Macaca mulatta: one gene and its partner. The protein of the gene in region 1 purifies or fractionates together with the protein of each later gene. This does not show direct contact. Links are inferred from orthologs where the notes say so. Each region holds a gene or a part of one and is shown on either strand. Other genes may lie near its edges.

Region 1 (5,673 bases):
AACGAGGAAGAGTCCTTCCTGGAACCAGCTCCTGAGAACTGTCTAACTAGATGGAGACGTCCTAGCAACCTCCAGGGTCCAGCGCCCTATCAGCTGCTCTGCTCTCCCCACACCCTGACCCTATTCATGCAAAGTTCTCTGTGCCCCCAGGTGGCCTGCATATGCACCTAACGATCACCATAACCCTCAGTGCAGTGGAGCCCAGCCAAGAATAAGCCCCCTAACCCTGCCACCAAACAAACAAAAAAAAAATCCAACCTGCTCTGACTAATTCACACCAACATGTGAAGGACTAACAAAACCTAAACTCTTCCCAAGATGTTTGAGATTTTACAAGAGACTCAGGAACTCAAGCAGGGCTCCCGTGGGCAAAGATGACATTTGACATGGGGCCCAAAGGATGAGAAGGAGTCAGTGGTGAGAAAGGCAGGAGGTGGCTGTTCCAGGGAGGAACAGCCGGTGCAAACGCCCTGAAGCAAGAAAGAAAATGGCCTGCTCGAGGAACAGGAGGTAGATCAGAGTAGCTGGGGTGTGGCGGGGGACTGTAGACGCAACCACTGGTAGAACAGGAGTTTGTGCACCTAGTTTTTTCTCAAACTGAGCTTTTTAGCATCCACTATTTGCCCACAGGCTCTTCCAGTTACAAGCCATATAAATAATAACAATGCCATGTGTTAAACGCCTCCAACAAGCCAAGCACTGTGCTGGGCACTTTCTGTATTAGCAAAATCACTGATCATCCCAGCAACCCCCTGTATGAAAGGTCGTTATTATTTCTCTCTTTACAAAGGGAAAGTGAAGCTCAGGAAGGTGTAGTAACTTGTCCAAGGCTGCACAGCAGTCAGGAGTCAGAGGCAGGATTTTAACACGATTCAAATCTGACATTCTGACATTCAAACCTGTGACCTTCCCTGTGCGCTGAGCACAAAATACAGTCAGGATGCAACAGTGTGAAAGTGTGTTTTTCATCAGGGAGGCCAAAATTCTACCTATTATAATGATGATGATTGTTTCTTGTTCCGATTCTGCTCTCTGCATCCGCAGCACCTGAGCCCTATGCCCTGCACACACGGGCACTCCGTCTGGACCAGCGACAAGGCCAGGCCTTGGTTTGTTCATCTAAAGGTGGGGATAAGGCATAGGTGGGCCTTCGAATGAGGTCCCAGCACACAGCAGGTGCTCAGCATCCTTTGGCTGCGTGTTAGCAATGCACAGCTCCGAACGGCTCCTTCATCACCATTGCACCTGCTCCTCACAGAAACCCCCAGACCCTGAGGGCAGGATTCACTCCCATTTCACAGATGGGGAGACTGAGCCCTGGTGAGAAGACAGACCTCAAGGTCACATAGCTCCCTGATAGAACACAGGCCGCACAAGGGCAGGGAGTCTTTGTCCAGTCCCCAGGGATAAAACAGTGCCTGGCACGCAGCAGGTGCTCGGTAAATATCTGGTGTCTGGATGAAGGATTGGATAGCACTGCTCTGACTCCCAGAACTGTGCCGTCCCCGTTGCTGTCCCCTGCTGAGAGCTGGTGAATTTATGAAAGAAAAGGGGATGGACGGGGTGCAGAGGGAATTAATGTTTGAAAATGTCCACCATGGCGCTTTCTACGCCTAGTCCCACAACAAGCCCTGCACCCCATCCCATCATCATCCCCAACGTAGAGATGAGCAAACAGAGGCTTGCTCCAGGAAGCCAGACCACAGCGAGCCTGGGAGCAGGAAGCAGCGGGGCAACCTGCCAAGATCCGCTCTTGGCCTGAGCCAGGCCACCGAGGCACGGGCCAGGAACCCGGCGGCTTCCTCCAACCCTCTGTCGCTGCAGGCTGCGAGCAGAAAGCACATCCCGGACCCACGCTGATCCCGACTCAGCCTCGCCGAGGCGGGCGACAAAGGGCCGTTCTCAGCTCCCCCGGCCTCCCAAAGCCGCGGCCGGGTCGGAGCCTCACCGGCCAGGAGGCCCGGGCAGCCGTGCCCCTCTACCGCACACACCCGGCGGCGAAGCGTGACTCAGCGGTTCTCCCGCCGGGAGCGGGCGCGGCCCCCGCAGCCTCCCTCTGCCCAGGTCCCACGCCCAGCCTCTGCCTCCCGGGCCAGGGCGCCCCGAGCCCGCCCGCGCCCGCGCTGCACTCCCCGGGCCTCCGCGGGGCTCCAGCTCCGCTCGGCCTCATTTCCGGCAGAGCCAGGCTTCGAGGAGGCGGACCCAGCCGCAGGAGCCCGGTCCCCGCCGCCCGGCCCACTCGGTCTCCCTGACACAGGCACCCACGCGCACCTGCCCCGCGGGACCCGTGCCCAGGGCCCCTCCCACTGGGGCACCCACCCAGGGAACCCGCGCACACTTCTGCGGCCGGGCCAGCAGCCCGTGGGTTAGCGGCTGACCGTCCCCGCATCCGGGCAGGGCTCCAGCACAGGCGTCCCCGCGCCCAGACCTCCCGGTCCCCATTCTCCATCGGGGTCACTCCGCGGGCCCTGCCTGCGCGCGGAAGCTGTCCCCACTGTTCCCCTAGCAAGGCAGAGCAGGGGGCCCCGGAAGTTCCCGGCCTGTAAGAGAGGGGCGCTGACCCACCAGCCTCTGGGTAGGGTGGGGGTTGGGGTTGGGTTTGTAGGGCCAACTTAGGGGATTTTAAACAGGGCCTATTTGGGATGACATGTCCCACTTTTTGGAAAATCCCGACAGTTAGCCCAGCTGCTCCTGTCTCAATATAACTCACCAGGAATAAAAAGGCCAGCCCCAAACTAGCCGCCTTCTCCCTCCCATTCAGGGACCCTGCCTCTGGAGGACAGGGAGGGGCCTGGGCAGGCGGGCCTCCCAGGAGGATCTGGCAATGGATTATGTTTTTCCCCCCCTAGGTCCCTCTTCTCCAGGGAGAAGACAGCCTAGAAAATTCTGCGGGCTCCTGGCAGGGCTGAAATTGCAAATCCAGGATTTTAAACCATTAAATTTCCCCGAGATTTCTTCACCAGATTAGCCACAGGCATGGCCTTTTAAAAAATTATGGTCAGGGCCGAATCAGGATGCCACCTGGCCTGAGAGCGGCTGCCTCCCGGAGGGCGGCGCGGAGGAGGGCGCTGCCCTGTCCGGGCGCTGGGCAGTGGAGGCCGGTACCCTCGGGCTCCCTCCCTCCTGGGCCCCGGGCAGGGTGGGATGGGGTGGGGTGGGATGGGGTGGGGCGGGGGGACACGACACACATCGCGCGGTCCAAACCTTCGGAGGGCATTCGGTGCGACGGCATCCCCACGCCGCGGCCGGCCGGAGGGGTCTCAGACAACACGTACGTTACCTTCAGTCACATAGCTGTGGTCCCGCAGGAAGCTGTGGTTAATTTTCCGCGTGTCCGTGTCCTCGCCCATTGAAGGCCGTGCCCGGTGCTCTGGGCATGCCCCGCCGCCACACACCGATGCAATCCGCAGAGGTCGCGCCGGGCGCGCGGGCCATGCCGCCGCAGCCTAGCAGGGGCGCGGGCCGCCGGGGCCCCGGAGGGAGGGCATCGCGGCAGGGGGACGGGCGGGGGCGGCCGGGGGAGGGCGCCGCGGTCAAGCGATCGCGCGGCGGGCGGGCGGCGGCCGCGGGTTCGGGCGGGCCGGGGCCCAGGCGCGCATCCCGGCCGGCCCGTGCGCGCTGCGTCCGTGCGCCCAGCGGCGGGGCCTGATGCCGGTGCGCCTGGTTGCGGCGACGGCGGCAAGGGGACGCGCGCGGCGCTGCGCTGCGCCGACCAAGCCGGGGCCGAGCTGGGCTGCGCGGGCTAGGGCCGCCGCCGCCGCCGCCGCGGCTGTCGCAGGCCCCTCCCTCGCGCCGCCCGCTCTCCGCCCCCGCGGCCCTGCAGGTGGAGCCGGCGCCCAAGCTGAGGCTGCACCGCCGTGCTCGGGCCCTCGCGGTAGGCACCTTGGTGCTGGGTGCGCCACGGGGGAGGGAGGAAGGAGACCGCCGGCTTGCGGGAGAGTGTGATCAGCTGAGCTTGGGGGGAGGGTACCTTGGGTGCCCAGGTGCTCCAGTTATGGGAGAGAAGGCCAAGGGCAGGGGGGCTGGGAAGGGGGCAGGAGGAGGGCAGCCTCGCAGGCAGAAGGCAGAAAGGACTGGGAAGGAGGGAGTGGGGTCGCAGCTGAAGAGGGCGCACCTGGAGAATGGGTACTCGTGGGAGGGGAAGGACACTGGACCCCTTCGTTAGTGGAAGAGGGTGGGTCGTGCAAGTTCTGGGGCCCCTTGGGAGCGCCGAGTACATGTGAAGAAGCTGGGTGGAGGGGGTCCAGCACCCGACAAGGCACAACTGGATGAAATGGCTGGAGGAGTGAGTGGGCCTCCCCCAGGCAGGGCCCTGAGATATCCCCTCATGCCCGCCTCTCCTGACAGGTGAGAAAGTTAAAGAAACACAGAGCTAGGTACATCCAAAACCAGGCTGGAAAATGCTTCCCCTCCTCCATCCCCTCCCTCCCCTCCAAGCCCAGGACTCTGCCAAACAGGAACCTCCCTCTGGTCATCAGCCTGGCACATAGTGGGCCCTCAAAAAATATTTGCCTCCTGTTTTGCCAAGCTGCCCCTCCTCCACCGTAACCCACCGCCTAATGAATCACAGTCCCCTGCACGGGGCAAAGCCTCAGGGGGATTCAGAGGTGTGGGTGAGGAACCATCAGGCCTCCCTGGGAGCTCAACAGAGCCTTCTTGGAAAGGGAGGGACTCTGCGGCTTGCCTGGGAGGGGTAAGTGCAGTGGGATAACCAAAGCTGCAGGGGCTCTTGGGCCTAAGGCATTAGTGGAGCCATGTTCCAGGTGGGGACTGGTCTGTAATGGCCTCCACTTGTTTCAAATGGTTTTGGGAGAACTCCAGACAGCTCCCCAAACTGCAGTGGAAGTAGGAGAGTCCAAAGGTGTTGGGGCAGGGAGAGTGGGGCTGTGGGAAAGACAAGGGAAGGTGATGCCATCTCAGGTTTCTTGGAGAGTGAGAGGGAGTTTTTGAAGCTACAGCTGGGCTTTCGTGCCTTAGAAATCCCCAGAATGGACCTATGAGGAGATGAAAGGTCCCCACCAGCCCTATCAGCACTTTGCAGGGTGTCATGCAAGGGCTGGCCTGGGGAGAGGCCCCAGGGCCCTGCCAGCACCTGCTTTGGCAGGTGCCCTGCCCTTCACAGCCTCCACCTTTTCACTGTGGAACAAGCCAAAATCTCCCAGGCGTGCAGACTCCATTCAAAGACCAGGTAAATGCAAGGGCCGGAAGGATGTGCTTGTTCTTTGTCGCTTTCTATCCCGTAGGAAAGTGAATGACACCCACATCGGCCCCCACCCACCAGCCTGGCATGTTCTCCTCTCTCTCTCACACCTGTCCGCTCATATGCCCCCCACCTCACATCCTAAGCCCAGCCCCCCACTCTCTGTCCACACCCCCTCACCTCTCTAGCAGGGGCCAGCAAAATGGCTACGCTGGGAGAAAGACAAGCTGGGTTCAAGTCCTGACCACGAGGCAGCCTAGGCACAACCTCATCATCATGTGATGGCAGGAGTGGGAGTGGCCCCACGGGTTTGGGTGGCCAGTCCTGCTCAGCAGGGGCCAGGCCTCCTGTGAGCTCTCTTGTTATCATGCTAAGGCCCACCCTCCTGCACATTCGTCAGTCTCCCTCTCTGATCATGGAGAGGTCCCCTCTCCCCATCTGTCAATCCTGCCAAAACACCCGCCCTATGCTGG
Region 2 (5,516 bases), on another chromosome or scaffold:
TATCCAGATGTTCACTGCAGCCTGAATAGCAGATTAGGAACAAGTTAAACATTAGTCAGTAGGTGACCAGTTAGTTGTATCATTCTTTTTGAGACAGGGTCAGCTCTGTCGCCCAGGCTGAAGTGCAGTGGCAAGATCATAGCTGACTGCAACCTCCGCCTCCCAGATTCCAGCGATCCTCCCACCTCAGCCTCCCAAGTAGCTGGGACCACAGACGTGCAGCACCACACCCGGCTAATTTTTGTATATTTTGTATAGATGGAGTCTCGCTATGTTGCCTCGACTGATCTTGAACTCTCAGGCACAAGTGATGCCCCTGCCTCAGCCTCCGAAAGTGCCGGGATTACAGGCGTGAGCCACTGAGCCCTGGCCCCTAGTTGTGTCATTCTTACAAAGAACATCACGCAGCTGTTACCGAGGACTTCCTATTAGTCTTGATATAGCACAATCTCCAAGACACTTAAAGTATAACACACCCTACAGTGTGTATTATGAATTGCCATTTGTGTGAGGAAATGATTATATTCATATATAAGTTTATAAATTCAGAAAGCATTCCGAAAATTCATAGAGTATCCAGGGGTAACTTTGTCTCTAGTGTTGAACTAGAGGTGGGAGGAAGATTTAATTTCCACTACATGCCCTTTGGTGCCTTTTGAATTCAGAACAATTTCCATTATTTATTAAAAATAAAATATCAGCCGGGCGCGGCAGCTCACGCCTGTAATCCCAACACTTTGGAAGGCCGAGGCGGGAGGATCACTTGAACTCAGGAGGATCACTTGAACTCTGAAGTTTGAGACCACCCTGGGCAACATAGTGAGACCCTATGTCTACAAAAATAATATAAATAAAGTAAAATATCACGTGTTACGGAATCCCTGGTATTTGGCGGGACACTGGATACTGGAAACAATTGTGGAGCTCTTTGGAAATTTACCTTAATAGGGAGTCCTCTCAAAGGCAGGAATGACTCTACAAGGGTGAGTTTTCAAATGTGCCATGGGGGCCTCGGGCCTCAGCAGCATCCAGAGCCCTACGGACGGGCAGGTTCTTACGTCTCAACTCCCATCGCACCAGTTCTGCAGCTTTCTAAAGGTATCCAGCACTTTCTACCTTGCATTCTATCTTCATCTTCGCTAGGCCTCACAGCACCGCATGATCCCGGGGCAGGGTGCTTATCAGACTCGCGTGTGTCTCCAAGCCACCTAGGGCACCGTCAAGCACAGGGTCCAGAAAGCTCCAATGAAAGAGATAAAAGCGCGAACCCGGGGGGCGGAGCTTGCAGTCAGCCGAGATCGCGCCACCGCACTGTAGCCAGGGCGACAGAGCGAGACTCCGTCTCAAAAAAAGAAAGAAAGGCATAAAATCAGCAAAGAAAGGAGACTGAGGAGCAAACCGCGAGAGTAGAGGCGGGAGGAGGCCCACCCTACGCCCTGCCCCCGCGAAGCACAAGCCCCGCCTGCGTCCTGGGCTCCCGGGTCCACAAAGCTGGGCCCCGCTGAGCTGCGACACCGGAACCAAGGAGCACGGTCGGCCGGGAATAGGCTCCTCCCGTGCGCAATGACGCCGCGGCCGCCGCGCGAGGGGTGGGACCGTAGGCGCCGTGCAGCCACGGACCAATGGGCGGGCGCCGGACGACCTGTGGTCCAATGGCGGAGGCGCGCGGGCACGCTGGGGGCGGGCCGGACGCGCCGACTTTTCCAGAAGACCCGGATAGTTCCTCCTGGCCACGCCGCGCCGGCTCTGGGTTCTCAGCCTCGTTTCCTTTTCCTCCGCTGGAGCAGCGATGGCGGCGGTGAAAACCCTGAACCCCAAGGCCGAGGTGGCCCGAGCGCAGGCGGCCCTGGCGGTCAACATCAGCGCGGCGCGGGGTCTGCAGGACGTGCTAAGGACCAACCTGGGGCCCAAGGGCACCATGAAGATGTGAGGCGGGGCTGAAGGGAGGGCCGGGTGGGCACCGCGCGCCGCCACGCACCTGGCTGGTCCGGGACCACGGGCTGGAGCCCGCCGCCTCGGGGCTCCGCAGCCGCCCTTCTCCGCGTCCTTCGGGGTCGGTCCTGTTCTCTGCTAAGCCCCACCGTCCCAGCCATTTCTTCCAGCGTTCATGCCGTCTCTGGGGAGAACAAAGCGTCTCTAGAGCGCGGCGTTCCCCTCCCTTTGGGGCTTCCAGGCACTCTGAGGACTCGGCACAATCTCTGCGGGGACGGGGTGGGCACTACACCTGTTCCTCCAGCCTGCGGGAGATAACTAGCCACATATCCCTGGCTCCGTAAGATCTGGGAAGAGCCCGTTTTCTAATGGGACTTTTAGTTATCGTTGAAAAGTCACTTCTGATTCATTTCTGTCCCTTAAACAGGCTCGTTTCTGGCGCTGGAGACATCAAACTTACTAAAGACGGCAATGTGCTGCTTCACGAAATGGTGAGAGGTGCTCTGCTCTAGGTCAGAAAGGTCTTGATTTTCCGTAGATTGTTTGCTTTGTGGAAAGATTTGCAGTGTCCGTTTTCAAGGCAGGAGAACATTTAGAAGTGGCATGTAATCAGTAATAGTACAGTGCCTGGAGTCTGACAGCTCTGCCTTTGAATTCCTGCTTTTTTGCTATTCACAGTCTGGGCTAAAGGACTGTAATTGTATATTAAAGTTAATTATTATAAAATTTGAAAAATTGAGAGGTTGACACAATCACATGGGCAAAATGCATGAGGATGATTTTTCTTTTTTTCTTTTTTTTTTTTTTAGTTTTTATTAGACGAAGTGTTGCTGTGTCGCACAGTGGCACAATCTTGGCCCACTGCAACCTCCACCTCCCGGATTCAAGCGATTCTTCTGTCTTAGCCGCCCAAGTAGCGAGGATTGCAGGCTCGGGCCACCACTCCCAGTTAATTTTTGTATTTTTAGTAGAGAGAGGATTTCACTGTGTTGGCCAGGCTGGTCTTGAACTCCTGACTTCAGGTGATCCGCCCGCCAAAAGTGCTGGGATTACTAGGCGTGAGCCACCGCACGCAGCCGGTTTTTCTCTTTTTAAAACAGCAATTTCTCCGTTAGGTCTCATCTGCATCTCCAAGTGGAGGGGATTGAAATCTGTCTCTTTGCAAGTCTTAGGGATGGAGAATATGAGATTATTGGGGGGAGTATGCGTTTTACTCATCCCCTGAATTCCCAAAACTTAGCAGTTCAAGAACAGGAAATGATTTCCTGCTGATTTGAGTTCAGAATAATACTTAGGGTTTTACTAGTAGCGTACCAAGCTATCAACATCCAAATGAAATATCTTTAGTAAGGACTTGGTAACCTAGGAGGTGTAGTGTTTGTTTTTAGTGGGCTCAATGGTGGCCCGTGTTGGAAAAGTGGAGCATAGTTAAACTTGATGTCGGAATTGTTTGGGGGCTGGGTGTGGTGGCTCATGCTTGTAATCCCAGCACTTTGGAAGGCTGAGGTAGGTGGCTCATTTGAGGCCAGGAGTTCACGACCAGCCCTGGCCAACGTGGTAAAACTCTGTCTCTACAAAAAATACAAAAATTAGCCGGACGTGGTCCTGCACGCCTGTTGTCTCAGCTACTCCAGAGGCGGAGGCAGGAGAATCGATTGCTTGAACCTGGGAGGCTGAGGTGTCATTGAGCCGAGTTTGTGCCACTGCACTCCAATGTAGGTGACAGAGACTGTCTCCAAAACAAAACAAAAAATTATTTGGGTTTTAGTGTGTGAGAAATACAGCATAAGTAGAGAGAAGCACGTTGAACATTTACAATTTAAGAAAAAATTATAAAATGGACACACACAACCACCACTGTAGCTAAGAAATAAATTGTTGCTACCACCTCAGAAGTCTCCTCCCACTGGAATCTCTCTCCAATCTCCAGAAGTCTTTCAGTTTTCTTTGAAAAAATTACAAACCTACAAAAATAATTACGATGTGTGTGCCCTTTAGGAGATACCTGACTTATTCTCACTAGAGCCATACACTTGCCATAAAGAGGCAAGGATGTAAAATTATGTTTTACTGTTAACTGGTAGCTCTGTCATTTTGAGTAAACTTTTACTTAGCCTCAAGCTTCCTCATCTGTAAAGTAGAGATAACCTGGGAAATAAATTACACATGAAAACGTTTCAATCATAATTGCATGTGCGTGATAGCTAATCGAAGTAATTTGTAGCCAAACACTTGGGTAGCTTTTTCAAGTAGATAGCACTTAAAGAGGCCCTTCCTACATTTTGTTTGTGTTATATTTAGACTGCTTCATGTTGTTTTAAGTGATTCATTCTTTTTCTACTTTCAGCAAATTCAACATCCAACAGCTTCCTTAATAGCAAAGGTAGCAACAGCCCAGGATGATATAACTGGTGATGGTACGACTTCCAATGTCCTAATCATTGGAGAACTACTGAAACAGGCGGATCTCTACATTTCTGAAGTATGCACAACTCTTGTTTCTGTAATATTTTATTGTATATAGGAAGTGTCTGATACTTATTTATACAAATTGATGTGCTGTTAATAGCTGAGGCCATACAGTAGAACTAGGGGGCTTAAATCTGGGTCTTTGTCCTGGTCTAAAACAAATTGTGACCTTGGACAGGTTATGGAACCTTTCTTGGCCTGAAAATAATTTTGTAATGAAGTTGCATTGCCTATGTGATTTGTATCTGTCCTTAGTGTAGATTAATAATTTAGATCTAAAAGTGGAATGTTTAGGACTAGGAATATTTGTTAGGAAAAAAGCATCCAAAAGCTTATATTTGGATAAATTCCACTTTTTTAAGCCCTGACTAGTTCCAAGGTTAAAACAAACCTCAGTGAGTATGAATCTGTTGTCAGAATTTCCTGGAAAAAGAGAGCAGTCTTTATTAAATAATTAGTAAATGATGTGAATTAGTTTGAGATTACCTATAGAAAAGAGAATAGTCCAAGCGTGGTCGCTCACACCCGTAATCCCAGCACTTTGAGAGGCCGAGGTGAGCGGATCACCTGAGGTCGAAAGTTCGAGACCAGTCTGACCAACATGGAGAAACCCCATCTCTGCTAAAAATACAAAAATTAGCCGGGCATGGTGGCGCATGCCTGTAATCCCAGCTACTTGGGAGGCTGAAGTAGGACAATCGCTTGAACCCAGGAGGCGGAGGATGTGGTGAGTCGGGATCGTGCCATTGCCTCCAGCCTGGGCAACAAGTGCGAAACGCCGTCTCCAAAAAAAAAAGAAAGAAAGAAAAGATAGAATAATGTTACCATCTGCGAGTCCTTGGTTGGGACACAGTGTCAATTTTGAAATGATTCAGAGTGGTTTGCACAGTGAATACCCAAGTGTGCTTTATAGTTTCCTTGGCTTTGACCCTGTGCTAGAGCATTACCTGTTCTTCTCCTCTGCATTGAAAGGAATATTTATCCTTTTAAATGTATTCTGAAAGCCAGCACATTATATTACCTCGTGTTCAAAGGTATGATGATCCAGAATACCCCTTCAGGAATTAACTGAACTTTGTCAGGAACTGTGGTTGTACCTACTTGATGCAAGTGTT

Evidence for each region.
Region 2: the proteins of PPP2R2C (region 1) and CCT6A purify together in Homo sapiens (affinity purification with mass spectrometry; 4 studies listed by BioGRID and IntAct, counting the BioPlex papers as one, with this or other methods). This does not show direct contact. The link is inferred for Macaca mulatta from reciprocal best matches to the Homo sapiens genes PPP2R2C and CCT6A.

The regions. Positions count from the first base shown.
Region 1 is NC_133410.1:6,563,528-6,569,200, reverse strand, and holds the start of PPP2R2C (protein phosphatase 2 regulatory subunit Bgamma), read right to left. Parts: upstream 3,425-5,673; 5' UTR 3,351-3,424; coding exon 3,281-3,350; exon of another isoform or gene 3,233-3,280; coding exon of another isoform or gene 3,205-3,232; intron 1-3,204. UniProt on the Homo sapiens protein: The B regulatory subunit might modulate substrate selectivity and catalytic activity, and might also direct the localization of the catalytic enzyme to a particular subcellular compartment.
Region 2 is NC_133408.1:72,119,919-72,125,434, forward strand, and holds the start of CCT6A (T-complex protein 1 subunit zeta), read left to right. Parts: upstream 1-1,705; 5' UTR 1,706-1,789; coding exon 1,790-1,926; intron 1,927-2,359; coding exon 2,360-2,423; intron 2,424-4,279; coding exon 4,280-4,414; intron 4,415-5,282; exon of another isoform or gene 5,283-5,416; intron 5,417-5,516. UniProt on the Homo sapiens protein: Component of the chaperonin-containing T-complex (TRiC), a molecular chaperone complex that assists the folding of actin, tubulin and other proteins upon ATP hydrolysis.